7 linked regions of the Ovis aries genome follow. The protein of the gene in region 4 purifies or fractionates together with the protein of the main gene of each other region. This does not show direct contact. Links are inferred from orthologs where the notes say so. Each region holds a gene or a part of one and is shown on either strand. Other genes may lie near its edges.

What was found.
Region 1: the proteins of YAP1 (region 4) and PDLIM7 purify together in Homo sapiens (affinity purification with mass spectrometry; 3 studies listed by BioGRID and IntAct, with this or other methods). This does not show direct contact. The link is inferred for Ovis aries from reciprocal best matches to the Homo sapiens genes YAP1 and PDLIM7.
Region 2: the proteins of YAP1 (region 4) and PARP1 purify together in Homo sapiens (affinity purification with mass spectrometry, with the first as the bait; 3 studies listed by BioGRID). This does not show direct contact. The link is inferred for Ovis aries from reciprocal best matches to the Homo sapiens genes YAP1 and PARP1.
Region 3: the proteins of YAP1 (region 4) and RPL14 purify together in Homo sapiens (affinity purification with mass spectrometry, with the first as the bait; 3 studies listed by BioGRID). This does not show direct contact. The link is inferred for Ovis aries from reciprocal best matches to the Homo sapiens genes YAP1 and RPL14.
Region 5: the proteins of YAP1 (region 4) and OTUD5 purify together in Homo sapiens (affinity purification with western blotting; 3 studies listed by BioGRID). This does not show direct contact. The link is inferred for Ovis aries from reciprocal best matches to the Homo sapiens genes YAP1 and OTUD5.
Region 6: the proteins of YAP1 (region 4) and DDX17 purify together in Homo sapiens (affinity purification with mass spectrometry; 3 studies listed by BioGRID and IntAct, with this or other methods). This does not show direct contact. The link is inferred for Ovis aries from reciprocal best matches to the Homo sapiens genes YAP1 and DDX17.
Region 7: the proteins of YAP1 (region 4) and LIN7C purify together in Homo sapiens (affinity purification with mass spectrometry; 5 studies listed by BioGRID and IntAct, with this or other methods). This does not show direct contact. The link is inferred for Ovis aries from reciprocal best matches to the Homo sapiens genes YAP1 and LIN7C.

What each region holds. Positions count from the first base shown.
Region 1 is NC_056058.1:36,691,315-36,694,814, reverse strand, and holds part of PDLIM7 (PDZ and LIM domain protein 7), read left to right. Parts: coding exon 1-18; intron 19-200; coding exon of another isoform or gene 201-297; exon of another isoform or gene 298-571; intron 572-950; coding exon 951-1,021; intron 1,022-1,166; coding exon 1,167-1,404; intron 1,405-2,800; coding exon 2,801-2,981; intron 2,982-3,500. UniProt on the Homo sapiens protein: May function as a scaffold on which the coordinated assembly of proteins can occur. May play a role as an adapter that, via its PDZ domain, localizes LIM-binding proteins to actin filaments of both skeletal muscle and nonmuscle tissues.
Region 2 is NC_056065.1:28,697,306-28,701,465, reverse strand, and holds the start of PARP1 (poly [ADP-ribose] polymerase 1), read left to right. Parts: upstream 1-1,360; 5' UTR 1,361-1,537; coding exon 1,538-1,657; intron 1,658-4,160. UniProt on the Homo sapiens protein: Poly-ADP-ribosyltransferase that mediates poly-ADP-ribosylation of proteins and plays a key role in DNA repair.
Region 3 is NC_056072.1:13,302,206-13,306,254, forward strand, and holds the start of RPL14 (large ribosomal subunit protein eL14), read left to right. Parts: upstream 1-1,249; 5' UTR 1,250-1,272; coding exon 1,273-1,275; intron 1,276-1,808; coding exon 1,809-1,910; intron 1,911-2,471; coding exon 2,472-2,566; intron 2,567-4,049.
Region 4 is NC_056068.1:6,197,526-6,200,160, forward strand, and holds part of YAP1 (transcriptional coactivator YAP1), read right to left. Parts: intron 1,518-2,635; coding exon 1,279-1,517; 3' UTR 1-1,278. UniProt on the Homo sapiens protein: Transcriptional regulator with dual roles as a coactivator and corepressor. Critical downstream regulatory target in the Hippo signaling pathway, crucial for organ size control and tumor suppression by restricting proliferation and promoting apoptosis.
Region 5 is NC_056080.1:56,126,274-56,130,302, reverse strand, and holds the start of OTUD5 (OTU domain-containing protein 5), read right to left. Parts: upstream 2,801-4,029; 5' UTR 2,033-2,800; coding exon 1,439-2,032; intron 1-1,438. UniProt on the Homo sapiens protein: Deubiquitinating enzyme that functions as a negative regulator of the innate immune system. Has peptidase activity towards 'Lys-48'- and 'Lys-63'-linked polyubiquitin chains. Can also cleave 'Lys-11'-linked ubiquitin chains (in vitro).
Region 6 is NC_056056.1:215,991,139-215,994,638, reverse strand, and holds part of DDX17 (probable ATP-dependent RNA helicase DDX17), read left to right. Parts: intron 1-447; coding exon 448-690; intron 691-1,490; coding exon 1,491-1,996; 3' UTR 1,997-3,500. UniProt on the Homo sapiens protein: As an RNA helicase, unwinds RNA and alters RNA structures through ATP binding and hydrolysis.
Region 7 is NC_056068.1:56,971,575-56,975,074, forward strand, and holds part of LIN7C (protein lin-7 homolog C), read right to left. Parts: intron 3,324-3,500; coding exon 3,205-3,323; intron 2,949-3,204; coding exon 2,877-2,948; intron 423-2,876; coding exon 213-422; intron 1-212. UniProt on the Homo sapiens protein: Plays a role in establishing and maintaining the asymmetric distribution of channels and receptors at the plasma membrane of polarized cells.

The sequences.
Region 1 (3,500 bases), on a different chromosome or scaffold from region 4:
GCACCTGAAGAAATCAAGGTAACAGGTCAAGCTGCAGCCCCTCCTTCTCATCTCCGGCCTCTCCCATTCCAGCCCTGTCTGCTCCTGGCCATCCCTAGCCAGGTTCATCCGTTCTCCTTCCTTCCTCTGGTCCTCCCTCCCTGCCTCCCTTCCGTCTCTCCTTCCTTCCACTTCCTTCTCCTTCTCTCTCTACCCCTCAGGGAAAAGTATGTCCTGGAGCTGCAGAGCCCACGCTACACCCGCCTCCGGGACTGGCACCACCAGCGCTCTGCCCATGTGCTCAACGTGCAGTCGTAGCCTGGTCCTCACCAGCCGGCTGCCCTCTCTGCCTCTTTCTTGCTGTTCCTCCGCCCCAGGGCACCTCCCCTTGGCGCCTCCAGCTTCTGCCTGCCTCACCCATCCTTTTTCTGCCCCTGGACTGAGCCTCCTGCTGTCCTGGCCCCAGCTGCCCTCCTGGCACAGGGCCCGGCTCCATCTGACACCACTGCCTTTACTCTTTGCCCTGTGGTACTGCTGTCTGCCAGGTCTGTGCTGGCTTTTGGGGCATGAAAATAAACATTCTCAGCCCTGCTTTCTCTGCCTCTGTTCTCTTATCTTTGTGGACTTGGTTTGCATTTGGGGTCAGGGGTGTTAGATGGTTCAGATCCAGTGTGGGCCCTGCCAGTATGGGTCTCAGTGGGTGGGGGTACTCAGCAAAGGGCCCCCTGCCATCAGAAGGACCCTCGCGAGCGGCCCCAGAAGTGAGAGCCCTGCTTCACCTCCCAGCCCTGTGCGACAGACCAGCCAGCTGGAACCTGGCCAGGAGAAATTGCCCTACCCATCCCTGCCCTGGGGGGACCTGGAGTCCTCTGCTGTCATGCACCCAGGCATCTCTCATGGGGCCAGCAGGACCAAGTTTGGGGGGTGGGGCCATGCCAGGAGCCTCGGCCGTGCAGGGCCTTGAATGACAGATCTTACAGCCAGGTGCCCAGGACGGAAGCCCCAACCCCAGCCTCAGCTACACCCCAGGAACCCTGGCCTGGTGAGAGAGCGTGGGCTTGATGGGGAAGGGCGGGTAACCTCCAGAGGCATGGGGGTCGGGCCCCTCCAAGCTGCCCCAGGCTCTCCCCACTGTCCTGTGGTGTCCCTGGGCACCCCCATGGAGCCACTTTTCCTGGCCTTGGCAGGCCCTACCACCCCCAGTCCCACGAGCCGCCCACCCTGGGCTGTGGACCCTGCATTTGCTGAGCGCTATGCCCCGGACAAGACCAGCACGGTGCTGACCCGGCACACCCAGCCAGCCACACCCACGCCTATGCAGAACCGCACCTCCATCGTGCAGGCCGCCGCTGGAGGGGGCCATGGCGGGGGCGGGGGCAGCAACGGCAAGACTCCCGTGTGCCACCAGTGCCACAAGGTCATCCGGTGGGTGGCCCCGTTCCTTCCTACCCTGGTCTTTTCCTGAACTGGAACTCCAGCCCTTTCTGACCACTGCTCCTCCCATCTGTCTCCCTACTCATCTCAGCTGCCCCCTGCTCAGCCTCTCTTCAACATTTGGCCTGGCAAAATGGAGGGGTTGCCAACGACATAGCCAAGCTGCAGCCCTAGACTCGCTGCTCTCTGGGCCAGGAATGGCCTCCCTGCTCCCAGCCCCTCTGCCTTTCTCCTTCCTGCTCACTTGGTTTCTCTCTGCTAAGCCTCTCAAGTTCCTCCCTCTCTGCGCTGCTCCCCAGGGCCCAGCAGAGTCCCACAGCCCCCAGAATCGGATCTGTGTCAGGCCCCAGAACCTTCCTAGTTCTCATACGAGGCACTGCCCTGCTGTCAACTCCTGTCAGCTCTTAAGCTCTGGAAAGCACCCCCTCGTTCAGACATCCCCATTTATCTGGGATGGCCGGGTCCCTCTCCAGCATGGATGGAACAGGCCAGCGGAACAGAGTGGGCACCAGGCTCAGCTCAAGTACCCACTGGTCTTCAGGGCTCGCAGGTACTCCAGGCCTGCTGTCCCCCAGGACACCAACCCCTTGGGTTCAACTTATTAGGCTCAAGTCAGCAGTCTTCACCCAGTGTCACCTTCCTCCCTTTCCTGACACTACCCTTCTCCCTCACCTCCTGTCATCAAAACAGTGCAGCTTTTTAAAATATTTATTTGGGTGCCTCTGATCTTAGTTGCAGCACGTGGAACCTTAGTCGCAATGCACGTGCTCTCTAATTGTGGCACATGAGCTCAGTCGCCCGGAGGCATGTGGGATGTTAGTTCCTCAACTAGGGATTGAACCCGTGTCCCCTGTCTTGGGAGGCAAATTGTTAACCATTGCACCACCAGGGAAGTCCCACAATAGTCAGCTTTGTCTTGCTGTTTGATCTTAGGCAAGTCACCTTTCAAGCCTGTCTGTTCCCTCTTTGGAGAAGGCAGTGGCACTCCACTCCAGTACTCTTGCCTGGAAAATCCCATGGATGGAGGAGCCTGGTAGGCTGCAGTCCATGGGGTCACTACGAGTTGGACATAACTGAGCAACTTCACTTTCACTTTTCACTTTCATGCATTGGAGAAGAAAATGGCAACCCACTCCAGTGTTCTTGCCTGGAGAATTCCAGGGATGGGGGAGACTGGTGGGCTGCTGTCTATGGGGTCGCACAGAGTCGGACACGACTGAAGCGACTTAGCAGCAGCAGCAGCAGCTTCCCTGTTTGGAGATGAAGAGAATGAATGTTCCCTTCAAGGTTTCATAATGGGTGTGGGGTAAACCCTGTGGGGTGCTGGCCAGGAACCCCGACTTCATTTGCACCCACTCCCACTCATTGCCCTCTCTTTCGCCTGCAGGGGCCGCTACCTGGTGGCGCTGGGCCACGCGTACCACCCTGAGGAGTTTGTGTGCAGCCAGTGTGGGAAGGTTCTGGAAGAGGGTGGCTTCTTCGAGGAGAAGGGGGCCATCTTCTGCCCACCCTGCTACGATGTGCGCTATGCACCCAGTTGTGCCAAGTGCAAGAAGAAAATCACCGGCGTGAGTGGGGCTGGCAGCTGGCGGGGGTGCTGGGAGGGCAAGCCTGACTCTTCAGCGTTGAGGAGTGTTGAGCAGCTCCTGGGCTGGGGGGCTCTCCCTGCAGGACCCTGTTGGAACCTTACCAGCCTCATAATTGGGCTACTATATTGACCTTACTTTACATTAGCCAGGATTGTCTTTACAGGTGACTTAAATCCTAACTCTAAAGGGCTCAAGCAGGAGAGATTTGGCGCCAGTAGTCAGAAAGGCTGAGGGCTGCTAACTTCTGGCCCAGCTGAATGCAGATCCAGGTCGTCAGGAGTCTTGCACTTGCCTCTGGTTTCATCTGTGTTGGCTTTGTTCCCAGCTTGCATTTCCATAGAAAGCGGCAAGATGCTGCTACATCAGTGGCTCCAGGGTTGCATCTCCCAGGTTAGCACTGCAGAGAAAGAGAGCACCCCTGTGCCAGCTGATGCATCGAGTCCCAGTGCTGATGCTCGTTGGCCTGGCTTGCTTCACATGCCCATCTCTGAATCAAGC
Region 2 (4,160 bases), on a different chromosome or scaffold from region 4:
CTTACTGTATGTTTAACAAGTTTTGTTTCATTCATTCTGTTTATTTTCCTCTACAGAATGGAATATTCTCAAACAGAGCATATTCCATTATAATCATGTTTTAGATGAATAAAACAAAATGCATAGAATTGAAAAAGAAACCAGGTATATACAGTTCTACATTAAATAACGAGACCCAAGGCGATGGCACCCCACTCCAATACTCTTGCCTGGAGAATCCCAGGGACGGGGGAGCCTGGTGGGCTGCTGTCTGTGGGGTCGCACAGAGTCGGACACGACTGAAGTGACTTAGTAGGGTGGGAGGTCTTTCAGTGACTGAAATTTAAGCACTGATGTGCTTAATACTGAGTTCTCCCTGTTGACTAAAAAAAGATGTACAACTTGAGAGTTGTGAGTTAAGTTTTATTTGGGGAAAAATGGGGACTGCAGCCTGGGAGGCAGGATCTCAGATATCTCTGAGAGACTGCTCCAAAGCAGCAGTGGGGGGAAAAAGTCAATATATAAGATTTTGGTGAAGGGGGAGTTCACTGCGATGAAACACTCATTTTACAAAAGGTTTTTGTTAGTCATGAGGATCTGATGTCACCATAAAGGGATTTAGTGCTTCTCTAGATGTGAGGAGATGCAAGGACTGAGATCATAAAATCTGTTCCTAAACACATCCAACTATCTAAAGACCTGTCCCATCAGATTCCCTGGAGCACAGAGTGCCTCACTCCACCCTGAACTCCCTCAGGGTTGTTGAAGGTCAACAGCTTTAGCAGCATGGGGTTCAATCTCTGTAGAGGCAGACGGCAAATGCCTTTGTTGTCATTGGCAATGCTCTTGGTAAGTGCCAATTTGTACCCAGCAACTGTAAAGTGACATGAAAGTGCTGTGATAACGATTGATGAGACTCCCGAAATTTGTATCCATGCATTAAAATTCAGATGAAGGCGATGCTAGACTTCAGTTAGTATTCGGTCCCAGTGGTCCGCGGACTGTAGTCAAGCCCAGGCGAGGGCCTGCCCAGGTCCTTCGGCTGCCAAAGGACTTTCCCCAGCCAGTCCAGATCTGGCCGCCCTCAGGGGAGAGGGGACACATGCATTAAGAAGCGACAAGGGTGGAATCAGCTGTGAGGACACTTAAGCCTTCCTGGGGACAAACAGTTAAAGGAGACAAATGGTGAAAGGACTGGCACCCCGTCCTTCCCAGAGCTGCAGGCGAGGGGTCTGCCCCGCCTCTTGCCTCCAGCATCCCGGAGGATGGTCGCGCAGCCGCGGGCGCCGGGGAACTACCGCCCCCACCCGCGGCCGGTAGGGGGCGAGCGCGCGCCGGCGGCCCCGCCCCTGCGCACGGGCGCCGGGGCGTGCCAGCCGCCAGGCATCAGCAATCTATCCGGAGCGGCGGGTGGCCTGCGCGGCGTGTTCGGAGGCGGTGGCGGCGGTTCAAGGCGCCTGGCCGCCTGCGGGTAGCGGATCGGTGGGTGAGGTGGCAGTAGCAGCAGCGGGTCTCCAGATCGCGGCGTCGGGCTCCCGGAGCTGTAAGCGGCAGGAGAATGGCGGAGTCTTCAGACAAGCTCTATCGGGTCGAGTACGCCAAGAGCGGGCGCGCGTCTTGCAAGAAATGCAAAGAGAGCATCCCCAAGGACTCGATCCGGATGGCCTTCATGGTGCAGGTGCGGGCGGAGGGGGCGCTTTGTGCGCGGCCGGGCCTTCGCGCGTCCGAGGAGGGTGGGGGGAGGGCCGGCCCGGAGCCGTGGGCCTGGCCGACCGCTCCCAGCCAGCGCGGGGCCTGCGGGCACAGCTGCTATCGCGGGACAAGCCCGCCGGGTGGACCCTTCTTCCGTCAGGTTTTGCTGATCTTGCAGGAAAAGCCCGGGAAATACGGTCTGAAGCCGGTGGGGCCTTTTACTTTGTGAAAATAGGGAGCCGCTTCTAGCCTTAGTTCTGGGTTTATTACCATACGCTTCGGGAAGGAAACTGACTCGTGGTTTTTTGAAGCTAGTCTGGTTTTGACCTACCTTGTTTTTTGAAGCTAAGTCTGGTTTTGACCTACCTTGTCCTACATTGACGGTGGCGACTGGCAAGTGACGATTTGGATTTTTTTTTTTAATCGGTTTTTGGCTATCATTTCAACACCCACTCACTCTTTTTTTTTTAATTAATTATGCAAAACTATGTAAGTCGATGTCATTTCAGTACAGTGCGTTCACTTTTGTCTTACGTTATGGTTTAACATTTTCCCCCAAACTTTCCCAGTTCACAGAACGTCGTCTCTGTAGCTATCCGGTTTGAGTAAGAGTGGTTCCTAGTGATTCTCATCTGGGCTTATTAATAGATTCAAGATTCCCTCCAGTGGTCCCTGAGGCTTCCGAGCAGGCCAGGAGGGGTGTTGGAGTGAGGTGGTGTGTCTGAAGACCCCTCCCAGGCAGAGAGATTCCTGCCACTTCCAGCTTCCCAAAGCTCCCGTCTGTTTGTGTAATTCTAGTTCCCACCCTTCCTGTCCTCCCCACCCTAAGGTAAAGCTGTTGTCCAAGCTTAGTGCTCATGGTCAAGATAGCTTGATTTTCCCTCCACCGGTGAGGCAGTAGGTATTTTAGGAATGACTAGGTGGTATTGCTGCATTCGCAGTAGTTAGGTGGTGTAGGGGAATGGGTATCAGTGTGTACTTGGGCTATCTCATTTCATAATATTGTTACCAAATCCCAGCTCAATCTGCTTACTGCCCGACAGGCTAATTGAAGCAAGGAATACTAACTTTATTATTTGGGAAGTCAACTGACTGAGAAAATGGCAGACTGTTGTCTTAAAATCAGCTGTCTTGTTGGGGTCTGGATGCCAGCTTCTTTTATAGGACACAAAGGGGAAGGAGGTGAGAAAGGAAAGATCATGTTCTTGCAAATCTCTCCTGAAATGGCCAACCATAGGGAGGGGAAAGAAAGAAACTGAAGTTGCTTGGTCGTGTCCAACTCTGCAACCCCATGGACTGTAGCCTGCTGGGCTCCTCCATCCATGGGATTTTCCAGGGGTTGCCATTTCCTTCTCCAGGGGGTCTTCCTGACCCAGGGATCGAACCCAGGTCCCCGGCACTGCAGGCAGATTCTTTACCATCTGAGCCACCAGGGAAGCCCTTAGAGAGGGGATGTATGTGTTAATCACTTAAGGCAGAGGGGCAGGGTGCCCGGAGGCAGGTTATTATATATGATTATAATAACGAGCAATGAAAAATAAAGGTTAAAGTCCAATAAACAGATCCTGATCCATCTGGGAGTTCTCAGGTGGCACTAGTGGTAAAGAACCTGTCTGCCAATGCAGGAGACCTGAGAGATGCAGGTTTGATCCCTGGGTCAGGAAGATCCCCTGAAGAAGGAAACGGGAACCCACTCCAGTATTCTTGCCTGGGAAATTACATGGACAGAGGAACCTGACAGGCTCCAACAATATGACAGGGGTTGGCATCGTCATCTTAGTATCATTCTCAGGACCACCTAGCTCACTACCCAACACTTATCGCTTAGTAAACACTCACTGAATACCGGTTAGGTTCTAGGCGTTAAGTACCAGGGGCACAAGGACAGACTCCATTTCTGGGAGCTCCCAATTTGGTTAAAGGGGTGATGACTGGTAAACATTGCTGTGCTGGGGTGGGTGCCACCTGATGGAGCTGTGCCCATGGCATGGTGGGTGCCAAATTGGAGCTCACCACAGAAGTGGCAGAAAGTTGAGGATGGAGGAGTAGACGAGGCCTCCTGTTTGAGAAGCCTTATCTCCCCCAGAGCGTCTTTTCATTTCATCCTAACGTTTGGGTGGCTGGCTGATCTCGTGAACTCCCCATTAATACAGGGGCTCTTAACCTGGAGTCTGTGGGATGGCACATAGAATTCAAGAGGTCCATGAGTTTCAATGAGAAAAGATTCCTGTCTTCCCTGGACTTCGGTTACAATTCATTACTTTCTACAGTTACGAATGGAAGCCCCAAAGCAAAGGCACATTAACAGTAACTGCAGTTTTTGTCATCAGTAGTAGTTATTTTCATATCATTTACAGTTGTTGGGGATTTTTTTAAATAATCATTTATACTCATCTCAACAAGATCGTGGGCTTCCCTGGTGGCTCAGATGGTAAAGAATCCACCTGCAGTGCAGGAAACCTGGGTTCGATCCCTGGGTTGGGAAGATC
Region 3 (4,049 bases), on a different chromosome or scaffold from region 4:
AAGGCAGAGATTTGAATGTTCACAAGCTGAACACACTCGTGTAACCAACACCCAGATGAAGAAACGCACCAGCAGCTCAAAAACTCCGCTTCCCCCTCCAAGCCACTACTTCCTGCACCAGGGGTAAAAGTGACTACTAACGTAGTTTGCCTGATTTGAATTTTCTATAAATGAAATTACAGAGCATATACTTGAGACCTATGAAACAACTGGCCTGTATTTTTAAATGTCAGTAATATGAAGGACAAGGGTAGGTTTATTACAGATTTTAAAAGACCAGACATAACTAAATGCAGGTTGTAACCCTTCACAAGATCATAGGCCCGGAAGGCTTTTTTCATTTGCTGGGAATAACATAAATGGAACAATTGCTAATAGTTAAATAAGGAGTGCAAATTAATAAATTACGTGGGAATTCCCTGGTGATCCAATGGTGAGGATTCTGGGCTTTCACTCTAGGTCAAGAGTCTGGACCCTTGGTCTGAGAACTAGGATCCTGCAAGGCTTGAGGCACAGCCAAAATCATACATATATACATACATGTGTATATATAAGTGTGTGTGTATATACATATGCATACACATGTATATGTGACTATTATACAGATATATGACTATTATTAACTTACTGAATTTGAGTATTGTACTGATTATGTAAAGTCATGCCCTTGTTTCTAGGAAACATCACATTTAAGTGTAAAGGAACATCATGTCTGCAGTTTCCTCGCAAATGGATCAAAAAAATTATTAAGCAATAGGAAAATGTTAACATTTGGGAACTCGAAGTGAAAACGGGAATTACTTATACTTGTTTTGTAACTTTTCTGTAAAGTTTGAATTCTTTTAAGAAGAAAGGTTAATAAAATTAATGGGGTCACTTACGGAGAGAAAAAAATTGTACTAAGACATCAGCAACATTTAGACGAGTAGTGAAGAAAAGATGGAAGAATGTTAAAAGATGAAGTCAAAAGGACTGCAAACAGTCACAAAAGAAAGCACAGTTTCTGTGCCCTTCTGCACCTTGAAGTCTTAAGAGACAGCTGCTCACGCGCGGTGTCGACTAAGCCAAGCCCACGAAACCCAACCGCGAAAGCATAGCAGAGCTCCAGCAGACTCCGCCATGTTTTCCCGGTGAGCATGTGTGCGCATACGTGCGTACGTCCCAACCAATCGGTGCCCACGTCGGCGACCCTTTCACTACCGGGGCGGGGCGGCCTTCTACACAGGCGCAGGGTTGGGCGGGCCTTCTTCCTTCTCGCCGAACGCCGCCAACATGGTGAGTATCGCCGGCGCGGGCTCCATGTCTGACCGCTATGCCGCTCCAGCTTTGCCTGGGCTGGGGGTTGGAGGCGAGCAGCGGCGCTCAGTGGATCTTAGGTATAGTGCAGTGAGGTTCCCCGGGTGGGCAAGACACAGGAGTTGGGAGCTTTCAGGATGCGCGTCCGCGGAGCGCGTGGAGGGCCCGGCAGGCCGGGCGCTCGCTGGGCCACGCGTGCGCGCTCTGGCCGCCTCCGCTGTCTCGTTGCGGCGGCCGGTCGCCTAGCCCGCCCGCCGGGGCCGAAGCAGGACAGGGCATGGTGGTCTGGCCGTGCTGGCTTCTTAGACGGGGAGGCCAGCGGGAGACTGACTTGCTACCGTTTCCTCTGTGGATTTCGTCCATCCTGGTTGTTCCATGGCACTTCGGCGTGTTCTCCTCAACATTCTTTTTTCCTGTTTTTAGCCGCACTATGTTTAAATTGCAAAGACTGGCAAACTGGATCGTATTTTTAATCAGTCTCGCTGTTCTCTCCCCCCGCCTCCCAATTTTAGGTGTTCAGGCGCTTCGTAGAGGTTGGCCGGGTGGCCTACGTCTCCTTTGGGCCTCATGCCGGGAAGCTGGTCGCGATTGTAGATGTTATTGATCAGAACAGGGTAAGTGTAAGGAAAAGTGTCACGGCTTTACGTGGCAGTGTAGACGACAATGGTAATGGTTTCAGCGGCCCTCTTAAGATAGGAGTACTATGGGTGGTAGTTTTACTTAAACAGCCACCGCAAATAGGGGTTACATAGCAGAGGCTTGAATTGACCTGTTACTACTGGGTTTGAGTAATACTTCTAACTAGGCAGTTTTAAACTAAAGGTGGGCTAAAACATGGGCGAGATGTAAATCATTTATTATGTTCAAAGCGAGTTTGGAACAAAGCCATAGAAAGCCTTTTCTTTCACATAGAAAGCCCTTGTTTCCTATTGTCACTATTTGAGCACCACAAACTAAGGGATTGAGCAGATAGTTTTTGGGAAATGGAAGTATTAAAGACAAAACTATGTGTTGGGTTCTATGCTTAACTATCACTGCTAACTCTTTTTAACCTTTAAGAAAGCATTTAAATATAAGAATTTGATGATTCTGAAAAGACTAATATTATGTAGGATATCTGCATTTTGAATGCTGTTACATTTTTATACTGAGATCCTTGATCTTATGTCTTCTAGGCTTTGGTGGATGGACCTTGCACTCAAGTAAGGAGACAAGCTATGCCTTTCAAATGCATGCAGCTCACTGACTTCATCCTCAAGTTCCCACACAGGTCACTATCAAACTATCACCCTTCCCATAGTTTTGTTAATACTAGTAAAAGTTTGCTTAATTTCATTTAAAAATGTTGTTGGTTATTTCGTTTTTCTCTTAAGAATATAGTAAGCAGTGTGAAAGTGAGAGCCATTTAGAAGAGAAAGTTGCATTGTAAAAGTAGACAGACATTTACTTCTAAAATGCCCTGGGATCCGGTGGTTCTCTGGCTTTCCCTTTGTCCAGATTTCCCATTCTTTTTCTCTTGTACCCCTTTCTTTCAGGATTTGCACAACAAAGAACTTTCTGTATGTGTAGTTTCCTGAACATGTGTTAATCAATTTTAGCTTTAGAACAAAAAAAATACTATCATTAGTTGAACTTTTCATATGTGTCAGCTAATATTTAACATAACATCTCTCCTTATGACAGCCACCAGAGAGGTTCTCTTCCTGGCTATTCATGAGCAATTAAGGCAACCATTCTGTGATTCTTGGCATGATGTAGGTTACAGAAGTTAAAAACTGATGTTGCTGTGTGGTGACAATTGTTTGCAATGTAACCTGTGCTATGACTGGTTTACTTTCTAAGCATACTGGATTTTGATGTTTGAAACAAATACCAAAGTGGTTACAATTCCATTTTATGGCATTTGAACGCAAATCTTCAGGCATTACTGTACAGAATGAAACAAGGCACAAGGGACAACTACGTTATGGCTCAGACGGTAAAGCGTCTGTCTACAATGCGGGAGACCTGGGTTTGATCCCTGGGTCAGGAAGATGCCCTGGAGAAGGAAATGGCAACCCACTCCAGTACTATTGCCTGGAAAATCCCATGGACAGAGGAGCCAGTTAGGCTACAGTCCATGAGGTCGCAAAGAGTCGGACACTACTGAGCAACTTCACTTCACTTCATGTTATTCTTTATGAAAACGAAATTGCTTTCTGCTGCTGCTGCTGCTAAGTCGCTTCAGTTGTGTCCAACTCTGTGCGACCCCAGAGATGGATGGCAGCCCACCAGGCTCCTCCGTCCCTGGGATTCTCCAGGCAAGAACACTGGAGTGGGTTGCCATTTCCTTCTCCAGTGAAAGTGAAGTTGTTCAGTCATGTCTGACTCTTCGCAACCCCATGGACTGCAGCCTACCAGGCTTCTCCGCTCATGGGATTTTCCAGGCAAGAGTACTGGAGTGGGTTGCCATTGCCTTCTCCAATTGCTTTCTACTCATCCACTATTTGGGTGATATATGCACATTATTGGAGGTGATTTTTAAGCCCAGAAAGTGGAGTGGTTCACATATTTTTTTTTTTTAATTGTGTTTTGAGGATGTAAGACATCTTGGCTTAGTGGACACTGTTGGAACAAGTAGAACATTGTGCCTCGTGCTGTTTTCTGTGGAGACACTACAACTGGCAGTAGAAAAAACAAGGGTTCTTGTGGCATTTTTCTTGTGCTTTTTTAACTTGTGCTTTTTCAGAGGATGAAAAGCTGTCCTTGAATCT
Region 4 (2,635 bases):
CAAAACTAAGGCAAAGGTACTCTTCCAAAGCTAAAGGGGATAATAAAGCCATTTCTTGTTTACTTCTTTCAAATTCAGCAGATAATATCCACTGTGTGCCCAGAGGGCATACAAGACTCCTGGAGGCACTATCCATAAGAACAGCCCTTTCTAGAACACTAAACCACCACCAACTGCACACTACCCCAACCGGATTTAAACTATTTGTGAAATATAAACTACTAGTCTTGTATTCTAAATGCATACATTCATAGCTACCATTTTAAAATAAATTGGAAAGTAGGGAAAACTAAAAAAAAAAAGATACATTCTGCTATCACACTATTATAAACATTATTAAGTGTGTGTGGGTATATATAAAGAGAGCTGATTACCAAGATTTAAATAAGATGGTAAAAAAACCCAGGACATGTAGATTTACCAAAGGAACTATAATAGCTGTCCCGAGCTACAAGTATAAACAGATGCACTACAATGGTAATTTGCCTTAGATTCTGAGGAAAAAAGAAAAAAACAAAACAAAACCCCTAAGACAATAAAAATTCCGATGAAGACCAAAAAAAAAAAAAGAAAAACAAACAAAAACCCCACAATAAAACCCACCAAAATCTATACTAGAGTATGTGGCAATAATTAATATATTTCTATGGAAATTATCTCAAGCCTTAGAAGCTCCTAAAATAAAATCAAGGTCACTATGTGACTAATGATAGCACTAGGAGGAAAAAAAACCCACTGAAAGTAAAACAGTCTTCAGCCTTGGTTTCAGCTAGCTCTTCAAATCAGTCTAAGTACTAAACATCAGATACAACATTTTTGGCTTGTTAGACCAGTAAGTCATGTTTTCCCACTGGCCAAAGGCAGCTGAAGAACAGTTGCTTGAACAAACTAAATGCTGTGACATGAAGCATTTGACTTCCAAGTCTGAGTATTTAGTTAAAACGATTGGTGAACATCTAACTGGGCAAAAGGAATGGCATCCATCATCCAAACAGGCTCACTTTCCCCAGCCCCCAAAACAAACAGTAGTTATAATAGCAAAAGAAACAAAAGTTTGTTTTTGATTCCTTAGAGCCAACTATGGAAGAGGTCAGCAATATATTAACAGCAGCAATGGACAAGAAGAGCAAAATAGTGGATGAAAGAATCCTGCTGGACGTTTGTTCATCTTTTTCTGTATTAGCCAGAAGACTGCCCCTGGCTTAACTGGAAATTTCAGGTATAGGTCTTATCTCCTTAGATCCTTCACAGATTTAGAATTCAGTCTACCTGAGGGCTCTATAACCATGTAAGAAAGCTTTCTTTATCTAGCTTGGTGGCGGCCAAAACAGACTCCATGTCGTTGAGGATGTCGGAGCTCAACGCTTCTTGCAGGCTCGGCATCAGCTCCTCCCCTTCTATGTTCATCCCATCTCCCTCCAGGGTTCCGAGGTCCACGTTTGTCCCAGGAATGGCTTCAAGATAGTCTGGGAAACGGTTCTGCTGGGAGGGCAGGGTGCTTTGGTTGATAGTGTCACCTAGATGGACCAGAGAGAGACAGAAAGAAAACAGGTCCCTTTGAAAAGCTGACATCGTGACACACGTAGGGAAAGAAACGCATTCCTGATGGACTTCCTCCACTGATGCCCACAGTTTACTTTAGGCCAAACAACCTACAGAGAGCAAAGTAACAATGCCAAGTCTCCTTCAGCTTCATGTGTTCAGATACTGAACAAGTCTGACTGCTTATTCCTGCGTGGTCAGCACTGAAGAGGGTCCTGGGAAGAAATTCGCTGAAACATTATATACTCAAGAGAGAGAGGACAGATAGGACACAACTGTATCAGTACTTTTCGTCGAAACATTATATACAGCGAGAGAGAGCGAGCGCAGGTGTGACTCAACAGCGTCAGTACCCGACTGCTCCAGGCGTGCACCGCCACAGTAAGGGAAAACAAAGATGCATGGGTATGCCTGTCTTTCTCGCAAGTACACACTGGGGAACAGAATAAAATAAAAAGGCTGCATGAAACTCTATCCCACTCTCAGGAGATTCACATTCACAATAGTAAAACCACGCCTCCCAGAAGTCCTTGGAAAAGTAAGTCTTCCTAGCTTTCTTTGCTTACTGGTCTCCCAAACTTACCTGGCCAAGAAACCTTTTTTGCCCATGATGACGTTAACATTCATGAACACTTCCATGGACTAGGCTTTCAGAAAAACTAACATAAACCATTAATTGTTATAAAAGTTTAGAGAGAAGGGAGAAACGGGGGAGAGAGGAATAAGGAAAGGTGTTATGAATGAGATGGGTTTGAGGTGACTCGTACGGATGACTTAAGATCCAGATGAGGAGAGGGTGGTGTGGATTCCCAGGGACACCGACGCCACGGGCTGGATGCACACCAGCACAGAAGCCCCGCCAAACGCTCCCAGAAGCGGCAAGCTGACGGGCCAGCGAGCTGGAGAGCCTTTTCACTGCCCAGCCAGCTCATGCCCTCTGACAGCTGCCAAGTCCAGGTCAAAGGGTAAGCCACAGGAGCACCACTCCTGTGGGGGAGGTTTTCAAGCTCCTGCAACTCTTCCAATAAAGGATGTAAGGCCACCACCTAACCTTTCCAATCTGCCAACCTGAGGCCCGCATCACTTAAGCTGG
Region 5 (4,029 bases), on a different chromosome or scaffold from region 4:
TGGGCTTAGGCTCAAGTCCCCAAGGCAGGAAATTTTATGACCGCAAAAGGCCTCTTAAGACTAGGGTACACATATGCTGTTTTAAGTGAGGGGACAGTTCTTTCAGGGTAGGTTCAGTTAATCAGGTCCTAAGGTGGGGGAGGTGTCTCTCATGAACCCGAGGCAAAGTCAAACTCATGATGGGAGATGCAGAACCCTATTCCAGAGGGACTCTATCCATGCCCCAAGGGAAAGGTCTCAGGGCTCAATTCTGGTCCTGGGAGACCTCCTGCTCCCAAGGAGTGCCTTAAGTTCCTTGAGGGGGAAGCGTGGACCTCATCTCTAGAGACATGCCAGTTAGTGAGGTATGTATGCATCTCTTATCCTTGAGGGAAAGCGCAAGAATCCTTGGCACAGTGGGTCTCAGATGCCCAAAGAGAATACTCAGACCAGTCCCTGAGTAGTAAAGTCCCCTAGAGACCTTTGAGGAGGATATCAATTTCCTGAAGAGGGCTTCAGACCTAAAAGCCCAGTCTATAAGCAGGGGGAATCCTAGGCTCCAGTATACAAAACAGTGAGTCTCATTTTCTTGAAGAAAGGTTTAAGCTTGGGGGAGGCGTGTCCAGCCCTTAAAAAAAGCTTAAGCTCCTAGAGAAAGATTCAGACTCTTGTCTCCAAGGAGGTCTCAGATCCCTTAGAGAAAGCACAGACCCCTGTCACTTAGAAAGGGATGAATCTCATGTACCCTAGTAGAGTTTTTGGTCCCAGGGTGTTGGTTTTGATCCTAGTACTCAAGTGGAAAGAGATCATAGGAGAATATGTATGTGTGTGTGTGTGTGTGTGTGTGTGTGTGTGTGTGAGGTCCCTGACTTCTAGAAAAGGGAGTCTCAGACTCCACTGCTGCATGGTCCTGTGCTGTATCCCCCTGAGGAGGAGAAAGGGTTGTCCTATATAGTGTCTCAGACCCCTGAAAAGGATTTAGGTATCCTGGGGACACTCGTATCTCTGAGGTAGCCACCTTACTTGTATTCCCAGGAGGAGGAATCTTAAGAATCTCATTCCAGGGGAAAAGAAATTTCAAGTCACCAAACACAAACCAAGGTCCTTTGGAGAGTCACGAGACTCTCCTTGCCTGTCTCTCCTGGGGAGTGCCTACCTACTGGCCCTACACGATGAGGCCCCAGGGCCCACAATCAACTATGGGTCCTAGAAGAGACCACAGACTCCATCTTTAAATCCTCCATCTTATCTGGGGCCGCTAATCCCAAATCCCTGGGGGGGGGGGGGGGGGCGGGGTGGGAGAGTATATCGCAACCCCATCACCAGGGAAGAGTGCCAGACTCAAGAGAAAAGACATAGGCCCCTTGGAGCAGGCTCAAACAGCCTTCCTTGGGTTCCTAGCCAGTCTAGGGATCCCGTCCACCACACTCACTCACCTCCCCCATCCCAATGCCCATACCTGCTCGACGGTGGCGGGGTCCATGGCCTCTATACGCGCTGCAGCCGCTTCATATTCATCCTCACTGTTGTAACCTGCGCCGACCTCCTCACGCTCAGGACTGCCCCCGCCAACCGCACCAACCCCGGGGGCCTGACGCCGCCGCTTGCTGTGACCCGGCCCTGAGCAGCAGCCGCCCACACCCACGGCACCGCCCACGCCCACCACCACACCCGCCGCGCCCACGCCCGTCGCTGCTGTACCCAACGCATCACCAGGACCGCCGCCGGGACCTCCGGGGCCCCCGCAAGGAGGTGGAGAGGCCTGCTGTGGCCGAGGACCCGCCACGGCGCCAGGCGGCACGGCCAGCGCCCAGCGGTGAAGCGCACCCGGTGGCCCTGGAAGAGGGCCTTGAGGCGGTGGCGAAGCCCGGGGACGGGCCCCCACGACGCCCGAGTCACGGTCGCGGTCGCCGCCGCCCACACCCGTGCCGCCGCCGCCCACGCCTACACCCCCGCCGCGGCGAGGCGCCGGGGGCAGCGGTCCGGGCGGCGGCGGCTCGTTGGCGGGGTCGCCGTCGGGAGGCGGCGGCTTCTTTTTGGGGAGAATAGTCATGGCGGCACCGCCGAGTAGCCCCCAGCAAACCCGCCGCGGGGGACGCTGGGAGAGGACCCGGATGGGGTGGGGGGGGCTACAGTGGTGCGCGAAGGACGACGGGATCGCCGGGACCCGGATAAAGAGCTCGCTGCACCGGTTCTCGAACCGTCGGCGGAACGCGGGTCACGCGGCAGGAGAACCCGGATGTGAAGTCCAAGATTAAGGCACCGCGGCGAGCTTGTCGTAGCCTCTCCAAGTCCAACAACTTTATTGCTACGCTCGTTCCGGCCTACGGCTTCAAAGGAAACAGAACCAAAACAAGCACCTCTTCGCCCCGCCCCCTCGCAGGTTCTTGAACTACCGGGTGGGGCCTGGAACGTTGCGCAGGCGCGCCGGGGCACAGCCCCGCCTCTTGTTCGGAAGTACGTGGGCAAAATCTTCGCCGCCGCCACAACAATTGCGAGCACCAACCAATCGAAGCGGTTGCGTGGGTGTTCGATGATGACCACGGGCCAATCAGAAGCGGACGTCGCCCTCCCCTGCCCTCCGTCTCAGATTTCAGTCAAAGTCGGCACCCTTGTTCCTTGCCTTTCCCTTCACTGGTTCCGTCCGGCTCTTCTTTCCCCGAGGCTCTGGCTCGCAGGCGCGGGCACTGCGACAGAATAGCGTGGCTTGCCCACGCACAAGTTTAAAGTCGCCTCCCTTCCAGGCTTTTAAGTTGGCCGAAGTCAGCCGGACTGACTGCAAAAATATCAACACTCCCAGAGCTTAGCTAGCCCTTGAAGCGTCAATTCCGGTTCCACCCACCTACAAATTCACATCCGGTGGAGAGGCGGGCGCCGCCTCACCCTGGCAACAGGCCGAGTTCCGCGGTGATTGGTTAAGAGATGCCACCACTCAAGTCGGACGGGCCAACCTTGGGACAGACATGCATCGTGGGGACAAGTGGGTGTTTGGGAAGCAAACACGCCCTCTCTGGCATCCGCGTACACTCGCCCTCGCGTTGACCTCCCCGCCTCCGTGGCTAGCGCGCAGGCGCGGCACATAATTTTTTTTCTTTTTTTTCCCCCTCCTCTGAAACTGTTTACCTGAATCGAGCAATGTTTATAAACCAGCTCGGTCACCAGCCAGCGTCTTTACTGCAGGAATTTTACCTGCTACTGAACGAATGGAGAACTACAAGCTAATCCTAGCTGTGCCTCTTCAATCTGGGTGATCTCTGACAAGTCATTTAATACCCACCCCATCCTTAATTTCTACTTCTCTGTAAATGGCAATGATAATCCCAATTTAAGATAAAAGGTTAATCCTTGCAAAGGGTTTGGTGCAATGCCTGGCACATCACTAATTAGTCTGTACTGTGGTGCAATGGAAAGGACCCCAACCTTTTGAGTCAGGAAGACCTCAGTTCCAGGCACATGTGGACCATTACCACTGTATGACCTTGAGGAAGTCAGTGTCTCAAATTTGAGGTTGCTGCTGCTGCTGCTGCTGCTGCTAAGTCGCTTTAGTCATGTCCAACTCTGTGCGACCCCATAGACAGCAGCCCACCAGGCTCCCCCGTCCATGGGACTCTCCAGGCAAGAACACTGGAGTGGGTTGTCATTTCCTTCTCCAATGCATGAAAGTGAAAAGTGAAAGTGAAGTCGCTCACCCATGTGTAAAACAGGAATGATAACGCCTTCCCAGACTACCTCTAGTTATGGGGGTGAGTTGAGCTCATGAACGAAGAAAGTGTTGTGAGATGCGAGGGCTCCTTGCCAGTGTTAGGAGCCAAGCCATATAATAGGCCATCATATAACTCTCTTCAGTGCCACCTAACCTTCTCCCTTCAGATGCCAACCCTAGTTAAAGGTCTTCCCTGAAAGGTGTCAGTAATAAAGACTATAATAGTATTTTCTGCTTATGAGACTAAATTGGAGGAGAAGACTCACGTTTACTGAGCTTCTTGTGTTTAGGGCACTGTGCCAAATGCCTATGCAAATTATCACACTGAATCTTCTCATGACCATCTC
Region 6 (3,500 bases), on a different chromosome or scaffold from region 4:
CTCTGTGACTGGTTTAAAGGTAAGTTTGTTATATTACTGGTAGATTTTGCCAGGCTCTCCCAACAGAGTAGAAGTGATTTGGCCTTGTAGCTTAATGGTGGTATTACCTTAAACATTCCAGTTTTGAAAAAGATGGAACTGGAATTTAGTACAACTCCTGTCGGTATGTTGGTTAAAATATGAAAGAGGCAGGAGTTTGAATGGTTGAATGGGATTCCCTTAGGATTTTACAGCTGATGCTTTCTCTGCATGTCCCAAGCATCATTAATCCTCTTTTACTCTGTTGGGATGAGTCTTTTTTGTTCCTGTTCAGAGTGGTTACTAACTTAGTCTTCTCTCCTCTTGCTGTCATCTGCATTCGTGCTTCCCACCTGTTGTTGGCATGTCCTTTACCTTCTCTTTCCCTGCCACATCAACCTACACACTGACTCATCGTTGGCTTTGAAGATGTGGAAGATGTCAAGTTTGTGATCAACTATGACTATCCAAACAGCTCAGAGGATTATGTGCACCGTATTGGCCGAACAGCCCGTAGCACCAACAAGGGCACTGCCTACACCTTCTTTACCCCAGGGAACCTAAAGCAGGCCCGAGAGTTGATCAAAGTGCTAGAAGAGGCTAATCAGGCTATCAATCCAAAATTGATGCAGCTGGTGGACCACAGAGGAGGCGGCGGAGGAGGGGGTAAGGGTAAGTCCTGGAGTTTTCCAGGTACTGCCAAGGTATCTTTTTTTGTGTTCATTGTGCCTTGTTTGTTAATCCAGTGGAGGTTAATGTTAACGTTGCTTAATAGTTCATAATCTCTTTTGAGTAAGACAGAGGTCTGAGCGACTGTCATAGCCTTAGGTAGTATGTTGTAGTATGTTAAGTTTTGAGTTATCCATATGGAGAAATCAGTAATGTTACATGGGCAAAGGTACTGCATCTGAATTGGACAGTTGTGAAATATACTAGCTAGGGTCTGTGTTTCATGCCCTTTCCCTCAGCTTAATATATGTTGAAGCTCTACATCAAGATTCCCTTAGAAGTTTTTAAAAGTACAGACTTTTTTAAGTGGGCTTGGAATTGAACTAGGAACCTGAACTTTTCAAAACCCTAAAGCTTGAGAGATTACTCTGATGCAGTAAATGTCTGGAAAGTAACATTTGAGAACCAGTGTGCACTAGTAGAGGATTCCTTTGTTGTCATATGAACCTAGCTGCTTGGGGCTTTTTTGTTTTTAAATCATCCTTACCATTTTCCCTACATTTTTAAGAGTGTGTTTCTTGGTAATCCTCAAAAAAAAAGGCAAAAGATGAAAAGTTGACTATCCTTTAATGTTTACCATTCTTTGAAGGTATCTTCTTAAAGAATCAAATTATATTTTTAAAGTAGTTATTTGGAAGCTGACTTAGCTAAAGATCAAGAAAGAACTGTATCTAGTAACATTTTTACATGTGGTTGTGTTTGGATCATATATCTGGCGTTGAAAATTCTTGTGTCTTCATCAGGCGGCCGTTCTCGATACCGGACCACTTCTTCAGCCAACAATCCCAATTTGATGTATCAGGATGAGTGTGACCGGAGGCTTCGAGGAGTCAAAGATGGTGGCCGGAGAGACTCTGCAAGCTATCGGGATCGTGGTGAAACCGATAGAGCCGGTTATGCTAACGGCAGTGGCTATGGAAGTCCAAATTCTGCCTTTGGAGCACAAGCAGGCCAATACACCTATGGTCAAGGCACCTATGGGGCAGCTGCTTATGGCACCAGTGGTTACACAGCCCAAGAATATGGCGCTGGCACTTACGGGGCCAGTAGCACCACCTCAACTGGGAGAAGTTCACAGAGCTCTAGCCAGCAGTTTAGTGGGATAGGCCGGTCTGGGCAGCAGCCACAGCCACTGATGTCACAGCAGTTTGCACAGCCTCCAGGAGCTACTAATATGATAGGTTACATGGGGCAGACTGCCTACCAGTACCCACCCCCTCCTCCTCCTCCCCCTCCTTCACGGAAATGAAGCCACTCAAGTGGTAGTGACTTGTGCAGACTTAACTACATTTAAAGGAACGCTATCTTTTCCTATTTTTCTCTTCCCTTTTTCTTTCTCTTTTATAACTTTTTCCCCCAACCATTGTGATTTGTCTTTAATGCAGATTAGTTAGGATTCACTGCCAGGTTTCTTCTGCCTGCCAAAATGATCCAGTCTGTAATAACAGATTTTGTAAAAGTATATATATGTATGTATAGCCGACTGGAAGAGGTTTTCCCCCCAACTTCTTGCATGTTGAGGATATTTGAGCTATTTTTCATCTTAAAAGAAAAAGTAAGGTATTAGGCCCTTTTGTGGGAGCCCCCCCCCTTTTTTTTTTTGGTCCTGAGTTTGGGTGGGGGTGGAGGGTTGAACTCTGCAGAAGATGGCACCTGTGCTTTAAATTGCTCTCGTACTGGGATAGAAAACCGAGAGGGAGTTCCCTACACATTTTCTGTATTTTTTTTTCCTTTGGTCTTTTTCAAGCTGGAACAAGGTTCCTTAGGCCTGATGAGTTTTTAAGACCACGCTTTGCCATTGTCATTTTGGCTGATTGCTTAAGTGCATTTGATAGTTTAAAGAAAAATCCTAATTGGCTTTGTCTCCTTTACATTCTGCCTTCCCCCTTCCCAAGTACTGAAACAACTTTCTAATTGTCAGGTTAGAAATTAAATTGCTGAGATAAGAGGTTTTTTTAAAGTGTATCCTTAAAAACCCAAATGTTTATTGCAGTGGTTAAATGCAGTGTCTCAGCATCTGGGTGGGAGCTGCCTGTTTTTCTTCCCCATGACCAGGGACCATCTGAAATACATCCTCCTAACCAGACAGCTGCTGTGAGCAGAATGAACATAGATGCTCACTGGAAATTTATTAACCAGTTAAATATGCATTCACCTGCAGTGTAAGAACTACGTTTAAATAAATGATATAGTCAGTGGGCAAATTTTTTCTTTTTAAACCCAGTATTTGTAGAGGTAGAGTAACAGCAACCCTATTGGCTACTCAGCCCTTTTGGCCAAGTTATCTTGAAGGTCTAAAGGGTTTATTGAGAAAGAACTCTTCTGTCTTCACACTGTTCTCTTCAGTGCTTTGTAACAGCTTTTGGATGCAAATTTTCCTCAGCATCCTTTCTCACTCAGCTTTTTACAGGTAGGTAGTGCTTAAGAAAAGTTAGAGGACTAAAGCCCAAGTCCTTTTACTTTACCTCCACCTGAAAGGTAGGTGAGATTGTCCCTTTTGTAGTAATACCAACTGTTTTACTGAGACTCCTATAGCAGATGGGCCTGGAAAGAAATTTCTGTTCTTGTGTTCTCTGTAAAGAGGACAAGGAAATCAGACAGCCTCAGAAATCCCTTCATGTCCAGTGTGGGACTGTTAATTTTTTATTGGTGTTATCAGTATTGATGGTGTAGTTAAGGGGGAAGGCTTCATTGCATTCTTTGGCTTAGGCCTGAGAGTGCTTACTAGTTTGTAAGATCAAAATATCTAAATC
Region 7 (3,500 bases), about 51 Mb from region 4:
CCTGCAATGCAGGAGACCTGAGTTCAATCTCTGGGTTGGGAAGATCCCCTGGAGGAGGGCATGGCCACCCACTCCAGTATTCTTGCCTGGAGAATCCCCATGGACAGAGGAGTGTGGCAGGCTACAGGCCATGGAGTCAGAGTCAGGCACGACTGTTTCTATAACTCAAATACACCCCCAAGTGGTCAAGCAGAAATAAAATGCATCCCTACCACTCCATTAACAGAAAGGAGCTGATCTCCTCGCTTGAGGCCCCCATGTCTATCAGCAATTCCACCTGGAATTATTCGAGAGATGTAGATTGGAGAGTTCTGTTCTTTGCCTCCCATAATATTGAATCCAAGGCCTTCTTCTGTTTTTGGTAGCTCAACAACTCGAGGATGAGAATGCCCTTCGCTGGCAGCAAATGCAGCAACGGTAGCCTGAAAGAAAATTTTACACGTATTTAAAAAAATACTTCACTCTTTTGTCCCTTTTTAAAAACCACTTTTTCTTCTTTTTTTAAATTATGAGGGTATGGTAACCTCATAACTTACAGCAGATTTGAAAAATACAGAACCAAGTTACATACAGTCCCACTGCATTTTTAAGTAGATTTTCAGTTGGAGTTTCAATATCAAACTCTCAAAAATTAATACAATGATAGAAAAGAAGGAGATAGTAGACCTGAAAAGCACTATGAATGGATTCAACATAAGATTTATACAATTTTCACACAATTGCATAATACAAATTCTACTCAAGTTCCCATAGACTATAAACCAGTAGACAACTGAAACATATCCAGGGACATAAAACAAAATAGAATAATTTCATGGTCTAAAGGTACTGAAATCATAAGAGTGTGTTCTCTTATCACTGTGGAATCAGTGATACTGATAATTAGAAATCAGTATCAAATTAAAAACCATTTTTGAAGTATTTTTGATGTCTGAATGTCCATAAATTCACTGACAGTGAAGGTAAGCTAAGTAGATGGTGTTTTTAAGAGGATGACTGGAAAGCTTACTCTGGGATTATGCAGAAAGTGCTGAGGTAGTTCAGGTCACTCCTGGTCCTTCCTGTGCCCAGAACTTCTGTGCAGTGCTTGGCAAGCAGGCCTTGCCAGGAAGATGAACGCTGTGCACACTAACAAGGAGAAGCCCCTCTCCTCACATGCCACCAACTGTGGGGCATTTGGGGCGGCACAACCCATGTGCGTAACCTAAACGTAGGCAGGTGTCCTTTTATGCAGTCATTCTGGCTGCTGTACTATTTGCTCTGTATATTAACCCATACAGAGCCACATCTTTCAAGTTTAGACTAATTCAGAGGAATTCTAACACAAAGTTGAGAACTCGGGTTTCATTTTGCTTTTAAATGTAATCTGGTACTATTTCTTTGTGTATTAAATCAGGGTATATGAGAAACATGGGAAGAAAGAGAGAAAATCAAGATTTGCTGAATACTCTAAACTCTTAAACAGGCTTCATTTTAGAGATAATGGAACAAAGGCTCACAAGTTCAGGAGGCTGTGAAAGTCAGGAATTAAACCCAAGGGTTTTTTTGTTTTTTGTTTTTTTCATTTTTTAAATTTTAGTATCTTTAATTCTTACATGCGTTCCCAAACATGAACCCCCCTCCCACCTCCCTCCCCATAACATCTCTCTGGGTCATCCCCATGCACCAGCCCCAAGCATGCTGCATCCTGCGTCAGACATAGACTGGCGATTTTTAATTGTTCTTTCCCACTCTGTCAAACAATACCCACAAGACTCAACAGAGAATCCAATGTTGCCTTTTGTGAACCAGTTAACCATCAATGAATAGTTACCTGCTAATGACTAGTTTCAGTATGAGTCACCTGCTACTGACAGAAACTTATTCCAACCCACATATGATGAGATGGCTAGAAAGCATCATCGCTTCAAAGGACATGAATCTGAGTAAACTCCACTCAAAGGACATGAATCTGAGTAAACTCCAGGAGATAAAGGAGGACAGAGAAGCCTGGTATGCTGTAGTCCATGGGGTTGTAAAGAGTCAGACACAACTTAATGACTGAACCACCACCACCACATATGATGGACAGAGATCAATGCTTGATTTGAGGAAAACACTGGTACAGAAAAACACATAAAAGCTGCCACCTGTAGCTCTGAGGAGTTAACCTCCTATTTGAAGAGTTAAGGTTAAGGAGAAAGTGAATGGCAACATAGGGGAGTACCTCAGATCTACCATTTACTATTTGTGTGATCTAAAGCAAGTAATCTAATTTGATGCTTCCTCACCAATAAAATGAGACTAATAATCCATACCTCAGAATTTTGATGAATATTTAAATAATGATATATATATTACCTACAGCAACCACATATTATATATATGTATTATTTGTGTGCAAATATATTTTAATGTATCATCTAGATTGCATAACAGAGAAGGCAATGGCAACCCACTCCAGTGCTCTTGCCTGGAAAATCCCATGGACAGAGGAGCCTGGTGGGCTGCAGTCCATGGAGTCGCTAAGAGTCAGACACGACTGAGCGACTTCACTTTCACTTTTCACTTTCATGCACTGGAGAAGGAAATGGCAACCCACTCCACTGTTCTTCCCTGGAGAACCCCAGGGACAGGGGAGCCTGGTGGGCTGCCGTCTATGGGGTCGCACTGAGTCAGACACGACTGAAGCGACTTAGCAGTAGCAGCAGACTGCATAAAATGTGTTTGTAAAGCCAATTAAAAAATCCTACTTTTCAGTAATCGAGTTTAGTGTAACTTGAAAGGTACTATTTGTTAGTTTTTAAAATAAGTCTATTATGAAACTAATAACGTCACATTTTAAACCTCTAATTTGTGATGAATCCTCTCACTTTCAGTAAATGAAAAAAATGTACCTTTGCAGTTGCATTAGCTCTCACTTCAGGACTGCTACTGATGTCCACAGTCTCGTAGACATGTTCATATACCTGCAAAACCCAAAGTTATCACTGTGATTTTAAATCTCAAAATATAACAAGCTTGAGTTCTTTTTAAAGTTAACAAATGTGTCAAAATTTCAGAAAAAGTTATGCATCTTTGTACCATGTTTTTCTGTTAGAAATTCCAAAAATGAGAGGAGTGGGTTCTAAAGTTAACTTTAAGAAACTACAAACCCAAATTTCAGAATGTTATCTTACCCTAAATAACGCAAGTTCATAGTCAATTTTAATCACATTTACTTACCTCTCTTACAGCATTGCAGAATTCACTCTGAAGGACTCTTTGTAGAGCCTGAAGTTTCTGTGGTGGTACCTCTCCACTTCTTTGCAGTTTTTCCAACAATTCAATTGCTCTACAAATATCTAGAGTTAAACAAACACACACTGATAGATAATTTTCTCTAAATGCCTCTGTAACAGTGCAGCATTTAGGATTTATTCCTCAATGGCTAACTAGAAATATAAGAACACAGAGGAAAAAAAAGCCTAAGAGTATGAACTTGTGTGTGGGGGGGTTCATGTATGGAGGGTGGGAATGTA